2 linked regions of the Drosophila melanogaster genome follow. The protein of the gene in region 1 binds, or shares a complex with, the protein of each later gene. Each region holds a gene or a part of one and is shown on either strand. Other genes may lie near its edges.

Region 1 (5,467 bases):
TGATGTAGCCACAAATGCCAATGGGTCCTCTCTGCCAGCGAGTCGGGTGAAAAATCCGGAGGAGCCGGGAGGAAAATCCCCATTGGTGCCGATGCGACAGCATCACTCGAAAGTGACGCGCCCACCCCCGCCGCCGACGCTTTTCCTGGAAAACTCACTGCTGCAGCGCCAGTTCGCGAATCCAATTAGTTACTTGGGTGGACCGCGTCTGCAGCCGCGCAGTAATCGCACCAGCATCGACTCGATATTATCGCTGGATTAGCACCGCAGCCAGTTTCCAGTTCTCCGCCCACTGCAATCCGTGGAAAACCTCGCCGACTAGTCACAAACTGTCAACTGGTGGGCGGGAAAACCCCCAGTGGATCCTTTTCTCCCCCCCAAATGCCACAATCTCCTCAACTTAGAAACTCAAAGTTAAAATCTTAAAAATTGTTAGCTAGTCCTAGTTAAAATACAAATAAATTGTTACAAATTATCGTTTAGTTTGTTACTAAGAAACCTAAATGTGGAAACGTAAGTATTTTGCTAAAAATGGGAAATCGAATACTTCCAAAAGAAAATATTTAAAAGATAGCAGCTCAATTAATTTTCCATTAAAATTAAAATCAATAAATGTATAAATATTTTTATTTGATTAAATTAGTTTCTGCGTTATTCGCCACATTGGATCGCTTGTAAGTATGCATTCACTTTTTGCTTAGCTATACACTTTCGATCTTAAAATAAATTGTGTTTCCGCCCACTGATTACTGATTTATCCCCCTTTGGGAATATTCCCACTGAAAAAAAGGAGCCGATCGCAGTGGGACCTTGTGTAGGGGCGTGTAGAAAAAGCCCTGGACATGGCTACGGGGCGTGTTGGTGAAGGGGGGCGCGGGAATGAGACGACACTAGGTGAAATCCGGTGGCTTGTACTTCGGCGGTCGCTTAATTGGCTTCTATAACCAATTGCGGCCGCCACGTCAAATGTTGTTCTCCTTGGCGCCCTTGGCCCCGGCACCGGAACCTGATCCCGAACCGGATCCGGCATTAGCTGTCGCTCCGGCATCATTATCGCTCTTGTTGTTACTGTTGTTGTTGCTATTGGTATTAGACGCCGTCGATTCCTCGCCATCAGCTCCGTCGCCTGAAAACAGCATAATGGTTTAGTTAGTAGGGTTTAAATACAAATTACAAGTGGTCAGTAGAACCAATTAAAATGACTAATGGTTAATCACTCACCCTTTTCCTTTTCGTCCTTGATCTCGCTGGACGTCTCTGAGGATGCCTTGTTGCTGTTGGTGTCCTTGTCGAGACGCGGCCGCTTCCGCTGACCCTTGTACGAACGGTTATCCCTGCGACCGCCTTCGCCCTCATCCTCCGAATCGGAGTACTCGTTCTCGGGCACAATGCGCTTGTCCTTGTCGCTCTGCGGCAGGCGATCATCCTTGTCGACCTTGTCCTCGTCGTCGGACTCATCGTTGATGGCATCCTCGGGAATCGCTTGGATTTGAACGCCCGGAGCGTGAGGCAGCATGCGCAGGTTCTCGAACAGACGGTTCTTGATCTTCTCCAGGTACTCGGATGTATTCTGATTCGTCATATTGCTGGGACTAATGTGCAGCTTAAAATCGGGCCCAAAGTACTCGAAGTAATCGTTGTAGGGCAGTTCGTTGGCTATCTCCACGGCCAGTGCAACGGAGGTCTCATAGGTCCAGCAGCGGGATACATTACGAATGGTATAACCACCACCGCCGACCATCAGGAATGGCAGGTTATATTTCTTCACGAACTCCACGCACTTGCCGTGACCCTTGACGGTGAGATTGAAGCAGCCTAACCGATCGCCAGTCAGCGAATCGGCGCCACACTGCAACACCACGGCTGCCGGCTGGAATGTTTCCATCACCTTGCTGATAATGGGCACAAATATGCTCTCGTACGCATCATCATCCATGCCATCACGCAGGGGTATATTCACCGCATAGTACTTTCCCTTGCCGGCGCCAATGTCTCGCAGATCGCCAGTGCCCGGGAAATACTCTCCGTACTTGTGGAAGCTGACAGTCATCACACGATCGGTGGTATAGAACGCCTCCTCCACGCCATCGCCGTGATGGACGTCTATATCTATGTAGAGAACACGCTGATGGTATTTAAGCAGTTCCAGAATTCCCAGAACAATGTCGTTGACGTAGCAGAAGCCCGAGGCTTCCGATTTTTTGGCGTGATGCAGCCCACCGCCCCAATTGATGCAGATCTCCGAGGCTTGCTTATTCAGTTTTACGGCCGCAGCTACGGATCCTCCGGCGGAGAGTTGGCAAAACTCGTATAGTCCATCGAAGACGGGACAATCTTCGCCGACATTGAAACGCTGCATCTGCTTGTTGTACTCCGACATGTTGTCCGGCCGAATGGATCGCAAGAACCGGACGTACTCGTCCGAGTGGAACTTGGTCATCTCATCGGCAGTGGCTTTATGGGGACGCTAGAATAGAGAAATTCGCGTTTAAATCTATCATATATATATATATATCTATCATCACATATTAATAAAGTAACTCACGTATATTTCCATTTTTCGATAGAGCCCATAGTTGAGCAGCAGGTTGTGGGTCATGCGTATGCGATGGGGCTTCATGGGATGACCCTGGCCATAGTAGTAGTTGCCAATGTCGCCTATGGATCAAAAATCGCAATTATGAGCACGTTGAAAAAGTAATTATTTGCCACGCTATGTGGAATACAAATTTTAAGGCCACTGTCGGCGAGGCGTCTGCCTGAGAGCAGCACTTTTTCCGAACGACCGCAGTAGTAGCACTTTCGCCCCGAACGAAAAAGCAACAAAAACACACAGAAGAGGAAGATAGACATCAGGTACATACACACACAAACGCATACAAACGCACTGCGGTCGTATGGAAAAAGTGCGCTGTGGACCGGAACGCGCTCGTACAGTCGCCGTAAAACTTGAAATTTGCAAAAATGCTATCATCTGATGCTAAGTGGATGCGGAAAAAACACAAAGTCGACATGGTAACCCTAGCTGGCACTTTGTAAACACAAATTACCCATCTAGTAGGCCTTTTACTTCCATTTAAATGCTCAAAACTTACTGTCGTAGTAGTAACAAACGCGCTTTTTGCTGTGAGACTGCATTTTGCGGTGCTGTTGGCGGGTCTTAAATCCCCTTAAAGTCGATGTTTTTCTATCCTTCGTCGATCGGATGAACTTGCGAGCTCAGAAGATGGTTTACTTTGGTGCCGGTCCGATTTTTGGCACTTTGGCGCAACTATATAGCCAAAATCGGAGCGCACAAGACAAATTCGCGAAGAGGAAACCTCTGCAGATGGGCAGTGTGACCGCGGACTTTTTTAAATCCACACTTCCCGGCTCTGCAGAATATACTTTTAATACTAACTGCATGAATACCGAAAATACCAAACAAATATATTTAATTATTTATTAAAGAAATATATTTAATAAATTTACATATGAAATACGATTACCCTCTTCATACAGAGTGGTCATTTTTTATTAGATATATAAACAATCAGACCTATGTACTTATCAAAAATTATCAAATATCACGACATATTTTTTGGAAAAATAGCAAGGATCAATTATAAGTTTATAAAGCAAAGTTTATTGGCTAAGATCACGTTGCAGAGTCTGAAGCTGGAACTAGAGATGTTGTTGGAAAACATTTAAGTTTAAGCATTCGAATAAACTAATTGATTTCAATATTTTCTATACAAATATAAATGATTCATTATAATTTAAGAAAAACAAAAACACAGAAGTAATAGGTTGTAGTCCGGGGTAAATAATGTTAAGTCGATTAATCGATAGGAATCCATGCTAATATCGAACTTGGCCCATCGCCAGAGGGTGCATTCCCTCTCTCTCTTTCAGAGCATCACCCATCTCGCTCTAAAATCCACCGCAGTTTCCCACGATTTTCCTTCTCACTCTAAAATTCACCGTTGAACGACTCGGACGCGATTTTCCAGCGCGGGTGATTTTCCTCCTCGGTCGGCGTTTTTCGGCGGCTTCTTATCGACAAACAATAGTGCTCAAGTACAACGAGATTTTGTAGTGTTTTGGAGTTGCTGAATTAGAGGCGATTGTTAATTGAATAAAATTAATAAAACGGCGACGCGTAAGTTTCCAACTCCCCCATGTGCAAGTGTGCGTGTGTGCCCTGTGTGTGTGTGTGAAAAAAGAGAAAGAAGAATGGAGTTGCAGTGGAAACACAAACACGCTCTCTCGCTCCATCTCCCTCGCACGCACACACTCACTGGGCGAATGAAGAAGTGGAAAAATTAAAACCGAAGTAAAGTGACAAAGCGAAGTGGCCAATAATGCAAGAAAAAACATATGAAACCCGCAGTGAACATTTAAAACAAAATTAACATTTTTCATAGGCGGCTAAAATATCCTGCGCAGCTTTTCTCTTTCCGACTTTTCTCTTTTTCCCTTAAGAGTCTTTTCCTATGCCTTTCCCCCTCGGAGACCAACGCCTCTCCTTCGCAACTTTCTGTTACTTTATGTTAACTTCTCCCCTTCTTTCTCTTGGTTTTCCTCCTGTATTTTTCTCTGTTGTTGTTGCTGTGCCCGCAGGATATTTAAGACCTTTTTTTGCTGGCGTTTAATTATAGTTTTCATTGCTCTCTCTCCTTCCCGCATCTCTTTTTCCAATTAGCGTCGAAGTTCGGCGTAAAGTAAACAGCAAAAATATAGTATTTGTTGTTTTTATTTGGCCCGCAGACCGTGCAGTAAAAACAACAACTTTAACAGGCGTAACTGTAAAGTCCGCTTTGCTTTTGATAGCAAATAAAGAGAATCGGAATCCGCAGCAAAGTTTTGATTTATTCTAATTAAAAAAGGTAAGTGCGATATAAAACCGGATTATAGCTCCTTTTCATTCGCACCTCCTTGGCCCGAAGTGCCGTTAGGAAGAGAAGCCAATGAACGCAAATAAGTAAACACAAAAACTAAAAAAAAGAGTGCTAGATTTGCTCTCCCGCTGCATTTCTATTTATGCTTCTGTGGCTGATAATGTGTACAGTGAAAAGTCGAAAGATGAAAAAATAATGAAGAAATGGAATAAAGCTTAACTTAAGGAATCTTAAGACTTGTTGTTTGTTATATTTCGACACATACTAACCATTTCTTCAGGCTTCTTTGCGCTTAAAAAAATACCCAATTGGAGTAAATTTGAAAAAAAAAAAACATTTCAAGCTTTATGATAATTTGGTTCTAAAAATTTATTTGCAACCACTAAATTGTGTTTGGTTCACTTTATCGACGGTCTACCGTATTTAGTTATTGCTCCGGCTGCTGTAAAAAGTCAAAGAGCATTTGTTGTTGCTGCTATTGTAATTGCTTCCAATTTGTGGAGAGCCATTGGATGACGAGTGAATGGGGTTGGGGAAGGGAGATGGAAAGAAGAAGCTCAAGAGCAGCAGGCGTCGGCGCAGCAGCT
Region 2 (5,223 bases), on another chromosome or scaffold:
GAACAATGGAAAGAACTAACCTGATCGGAACTGAAAAGAGTGCTCCATTCCATTGGTTCCTGCTGACAGTCATTACATTTCACAACTGGGAACTGACGTGTGTGGAGAACCCCATCTCCTTTATTTTCTTTATATTCATTTTCTTTATTAATATTTAAATTTTTACCTGAACAAAAGTACCTGAAAGTACTATAATGCCTTACAATATGGGTGTTTAAAAATGACAAATAATAGTTATTGTTTAATATTCAAGAATTGTCAATCCCCCTTAATGCACCTGGCTACGCCCATGCTTTCGCCGGGCAGCAAAACAAAGTCAGCTGTTTTTGTTTATCAACGTTTGTTTTTCTCGCAAAAATGATGCGAAATGCCTTGTTAGTAAGCGGGTAAGTCAAAAAATAGACTGCAAAAGTAGATTACATTACAGTTTTGCATTCCAGCAAACTGAGACATTTGCTATCCTGTTCTATCGGGCGAAATTCGACTAGAAGCAGCAGCACAGCGAAGTCGTTGGATGCCGGCACCCAAAAGGAAGTGCGGCACCATGAGAATCACGCCTCGGAGTGGTGGAATCAAAATGGAACCATGGGTGCTCTACATGCCCTGAATGAGATTAGGTAAGCTATACAGATTTGATGTTCCAAAGGTTTATAGCTAAGTTCCTTTCCACCTTTCAGGGTTCCCTTTATCAGAGATGGCATCGTTTCGCGTGGCACTGTGAAGCCAGGTTACGTAAATACCACCAAAGTGTTGTTGGGTCAAAATATTCTGGAGGTCGGATGTGGCGGAGGATTGCTTACGGAACACTTGGCGCGCCTGGGTGCCCAGGTGGCTGGCATAGATCTTGGCGAGAAGTTAATAGAAGCTGCTCGCGAGCATCTCAAATGCTCCAGTCCGGAGTTGGCCAGCAATGTGGTGTACAAAATTGAGCCGGTGGATCAGCATGCCAAGGCCAATTGCGAATGCTATGATGCGGTGATAGTGTCTGAAGTTCTGGAGCACGTCAAAGATAAAGTGTCCCTGCTGGAGGCCAGTGTACGCAGCCTAAAGCCTGGAGGATCCATCTTTATCACCACTTTGAACAAAACCATACCCAGTTGGTTCGGTGGCGTGTTACTCAGCGAGTATGTTCTCAATCTGGTGCCCAGGGGAACGCACCACTGGGACAAAATGATTTCGCCCTTGGACGTTCAGCGCATCTTGGATACGAGTAAGTTTATCTCAGGCTTTATATTCAGATTAGGCTATTCTTTATTCTCTCGTTCATCTGCAGTGAACTGTCAGACGGTGTTGGTAAATGGAAGCACCTACGACTTTTGGAGCAACACCTGGCGATGGATCAACAACAACCAGATGTGCTACGCCTTGCAGGCGGTGAAACAAGCACAGCGCGAGTACAATTGAATTCGTATATTTATTTAACTAAAAGCTAAGTCACGAGTGTAACAACTAAGTAGTAAACTATTCGTCACCCGAGCGTGGTTTCTTAAAGTACTGCTTCTTCATGGCATGCGGACTATCACTATCTCCGCCGATTTGCTTCCTTTTAAAGTCCTTTTTGGTGTTAAACTTCTTGCTCATGCTGCCGGAGACCGTGGGCGCCTTGTTGGCATAATAAGCCTTTACCATGTCTTGGTCGGATACCTCCTTGGGCTGCTCCGGCCTTGTGCGGCCCTGCTTTTCCGCCAGATCCTGCTCCATGAGAAGTTCTAGCTCCGGATTCATGCCGCGGAAACTGAGGCGTCCGTCTATCAGGCCGGCGCATATCGAGTAGCTGGACTCCACCACAAAATTCGAGGTGGAATTGAGCATCTTCTGGTTGATCTCGTTGGAGTACAGTGCCCTGCTCTGCTCATCGTCTGCCTCCTTTTCCACTTTAACTTTTGTGCGCTGCATGAACTTCATGTCCAGGACACCACGCGAAAGTCTCGGCTTTGATTTGGATGGCATTTTCCTTATTTATTTTTGAATCTAATATAGTAGAAGTCCTTTGAGTTTAAAAACTAGGGCGAAACCATCAGGCACATTTAATTTTTTTCAAAAGCAGAATGACCGAGCACAACAAATGGGGAAAGCCAGTGCTGCAAATCATCGTTCAGCCTAGCTAGAAAACGTGGCGCGCCCTCGTGTTTATGCGATGTTTAAAGTAAATATTTAAATTACTGTTGAAAGTTAAAACAATCCTTCGTTATCAAGTTGATCTTTTTAAAATTTTAAATTCACCCTACTGACAAACAAGCTCAACTCCATCTTCATGGGCACTCTTAAGAAAACTTCCAGCTGTGCTATACATGCTCTGTAAACGATCAAGACTAGCACAGGCGCCTTCAAAGGGTTAATGCTTTTAATTTGAAACCTAAAAAAGACCCAATTTCATTTAAAAGTTGTCGCCAATATTATCGGACAATAAACCTTAACGAATGGCTAAATATTATGGAGTACTAAAATAATTATTATTTATTCGTGATGATACATTTGAAGACCAAGTAGAAAACATTGGATGATCTGTGTGTTGGACTGCAGACTAAACTAAATACAGAATTTAAATGAAAATTAATTGAAATTAAAGATCAAAATATTAAAAATGTTTACCTGTTTAAAATATAGTGTTGAAATGTGCGCAAGCATCGATTAATCGATTTACTATCGTCGTGGCAGCGTCGCTTTGCCACACTGCGCAGTGCGCACGAAGAATAGAGGGAGAATGAAAAAAATGACATAAATGGCGGAAAGCAAACCTAGCGCCAACATTCGTATTTTCGTTTAATTTTCGCTCCAAAGTGCAATTAATTCCGGCTTCTTGATCGCTGCATATTGAGTGCAGCCACGCAAAGAGTTACAAGGACAGGAGTATAGTCATCGAGTCGATTGCGGACCATGTACAAGCGCAAAACCGCGAGTATTGTTAAAAGAGACAGCTCCGCAGCGGGCACCACCTCCTCGGCTATGATGATGAAGGTGGATTCGGCTGAGACTTCGGTCCGGTCGCAGAGCTACGAGTCTACACCCGTTAGCATGGACACATCACCGGATCCTCCAACGCCAATCAAGTCTCCGTCGAATTCACAATCGCAATCGCAGCCTGGACAACAGCGCTCCGTGGGCTCACTGGTCCTGCTCACACAGAAGTTTGTGGATCTCGTGAAGGCCAACGAAGGATCCATCGACCTGAAAGCGGTACTAACACGGCCAAGCATTAAGTACTCTACCTTAACATCGTCCAAATTTCCCCTCTGCAGGCAACCAAAATCTTGGACGTACAGAAGCGCCGAATATACGATATTACCAATGTTTTAGAGGGCATTGGACTAATTGATAAGGGCAGACACTGCTCCCTAGTGCGCTGGCGGTAAGAGCCCCTTACATTTTATGAAACATTTTAGTTAGAACTAAAAATGTTAGTGACAACAAAATTAAACAAAATGGGGTGGAAGTCGCCCTTTAGCACTTAATACTTAATACAGTACAAACAGGTGGAATTTACTTTGATCATCTTCAAAGTATGATTCCACATAAATATTTCTTGATAAATTATTGATAATGTGCATTTTCCAGCGGAGGGGGCTTTAACAATGCCAAGGACCAAGAGAACTACGACCTGGCACGTAGCCGGACTAATCATTTGAAAATGTTGGAGGATGACCTAGACAGGCAACTGGAGTATGCACAGCGCAATCTGCGCTACGTTATGCAGGATCCCTCGAATAGGTCGTATGCATATGTGACACGTGATGATCTGCTGGACATCTTTGGAGATGATTCCGTATTCACAATACCTAATTATGACGAGGAAGTAGATATCAAGCGTAATCATGTAGGTATCTTACCAGTCGGAGCTCTTTAAACTAGCTTTCGAGGTTTCCCATTTCTTTCAACGAAGAAATATCTAAATTTATCGTATAATATGGGATTCAAACGAAACATTGTTTTTGTAGTACGAGCTGGCCGTGTCGCTGGACAATGGCAGCGCAATTGACATTCGCCTGGTGACGAACCAAGGAAAGAGTACTACAAATCCGCACGATGTGGATGGGTTCTTTGACTATCACCGTCTGGACACGCCCTCACCCTCGACGTCGTCGCACTCCAGCGAGGATGGTAACGCTCCAGCATGCGCGGGGAACGTGATCACCGACGAGCACGGTTACTCGTGCAATCCCGGGATGAAAGATGAGATGAAACTTTTGGAGAACGAGCTGACGGCCAAGATAATCTTCCAAAATTATCTGTCCGGTCATTCGCTGCGGCGATTTTATCCCGATGATCCGAATCTAGGTTTGTCTTCTTATCTTGCCAATTTAAAAGACCCCCTGTTTAACTTGATGCTGTCCGATGTTGCAGAAAACCCGCCGCTGCTGCAGCTGAATCCTCCGCAGGAAGACTTCAACTTTGCGTTAAAAAGCGACGAAGGTATTTGCGAGCTGTTTGATGTTCAGTGCTCCTAACTGTGGAAGGGGATGTACACCTTAGGACTATAGCTACACTGCAACTGGCCGCGTGCATTGTGCAAATATTTATGATTAGTACAATTTTGACTTTGGATTTCTCTATATCGTCTAGAAATTTTTAATTAGTGTAATACCTTGTAATTTCGCAAATAACAGCAAAACCAATAAATTCGTAAATGCACACATTGTAGGTTGTGTATTTTTTTGTTTTAGGTAACTTCCGTAAATGTCGTGGAATTATTTGGTCGTGTATGTGGAAAGTGCCAAGGAAGGTTGGAAAGATTTATAGGTTTGTTTTAATTTGGTCTAGAAAATCTATGATGCCTTGTTAAGCGTTTATGTTTACGTTTTTAGAGAGATGGTTGATGTCTTGGTATTTTTCCAGGGCTGGAAAGTGTTGTACTTGGAACAGCTGATTAAGATGTGGGATACGTTATCGAAAACGTTACTTGGTCCCCTTATGTTATTGTAACATGTACTTTATTCAAAGTATAATTGTCGAATCCGTTATCGCTGAGAAGTCTGTTGATTCTTTTGATCTCTGTAGATTTAAGTTTACATTTGGGATTTTTAACCACGGTTTTTTCAATGTGTCTGGGAAAAGTGTGCAGTAGTCCCGCTGTTTGTTTGCAGCAAAATCTGCGTTTTCCCTTTCCCAGTCTTTTTGAATGATTTAAACCGAGACATCTTTAATGGTCCAACTTACTTCGGTGAAAATTCCTTGCTTCGATGCATTTTTGGCGGCCAGGTACACGAGATCATTTTCTGGAATACC

Evidence for each region.
Region 2: HDAC1 (region 1) and E2f2 share a complex: the UniProt entries of both Drosophila melanogaster proteins name them as parts of the DREAM complex.

Annotation. Positions count from the first base shown.
Region 1 is NT_037436.4:4,624,611-4,630,077, reverse strand, and holds HDAC1 (histone deacetylase 1), read right to left. Parts: upstream 3,345-5,467; 5' UTR 3,139-3,344; coding exon 3,096-3,138; intron 2,659-3,095; coding exon 2,546-2,658; intron 2,468-2,545; coding exon 1,222-2,467; intron 1,127-1,221; coding exon 963-1,126; 3' UTR 611-962; downstream 1-610. Other genes in the region: axo (axotactin), read left to right, coding at 1-262. UniProt on the Drosophila melanogaster protein: Catalyzes the deacetylation of lysine residues on the N-terminal part of the core histones (H2A, H2B, H3 and H4).
Region 2 is NT_033779.5:21,153,698-21,158,920, reverse strand, and holds E2f2 (E2F transcription factor 2), read left to right. Parts: upstream 1-2,171; 5' UTR 2,172-2,877; coding exon 2,878-3,177; intron 3,178-3,239; coding exon 3,240-3,349; intron 3,350-3,555; coding exon 3,556-3,814; intron 3,815-3,935; coding exon 3,936-4,275; intron 4,276-4,341; coding exon 4,342-4,445; 3' UTR 4,446-4,628; downstream 4,629-5,223. Other genes in the region: Coq3 (coenzyme Q3), read left to right, coding at 358-386, 441-617, 678-1,404; Mpp6 (M-phase phosphoprotein 6), read right to left, coding at 1,462-1,950. UniProt on the Drosophila melanogaster protein: Transcriptional repressor that binds to E2f sites and represses E2f-regulated target genes. Binding to E2f sites requires transcription factor Dp. Acts synergistically with Rbf2 to antagonize E2f1-mediated transcriptional activation.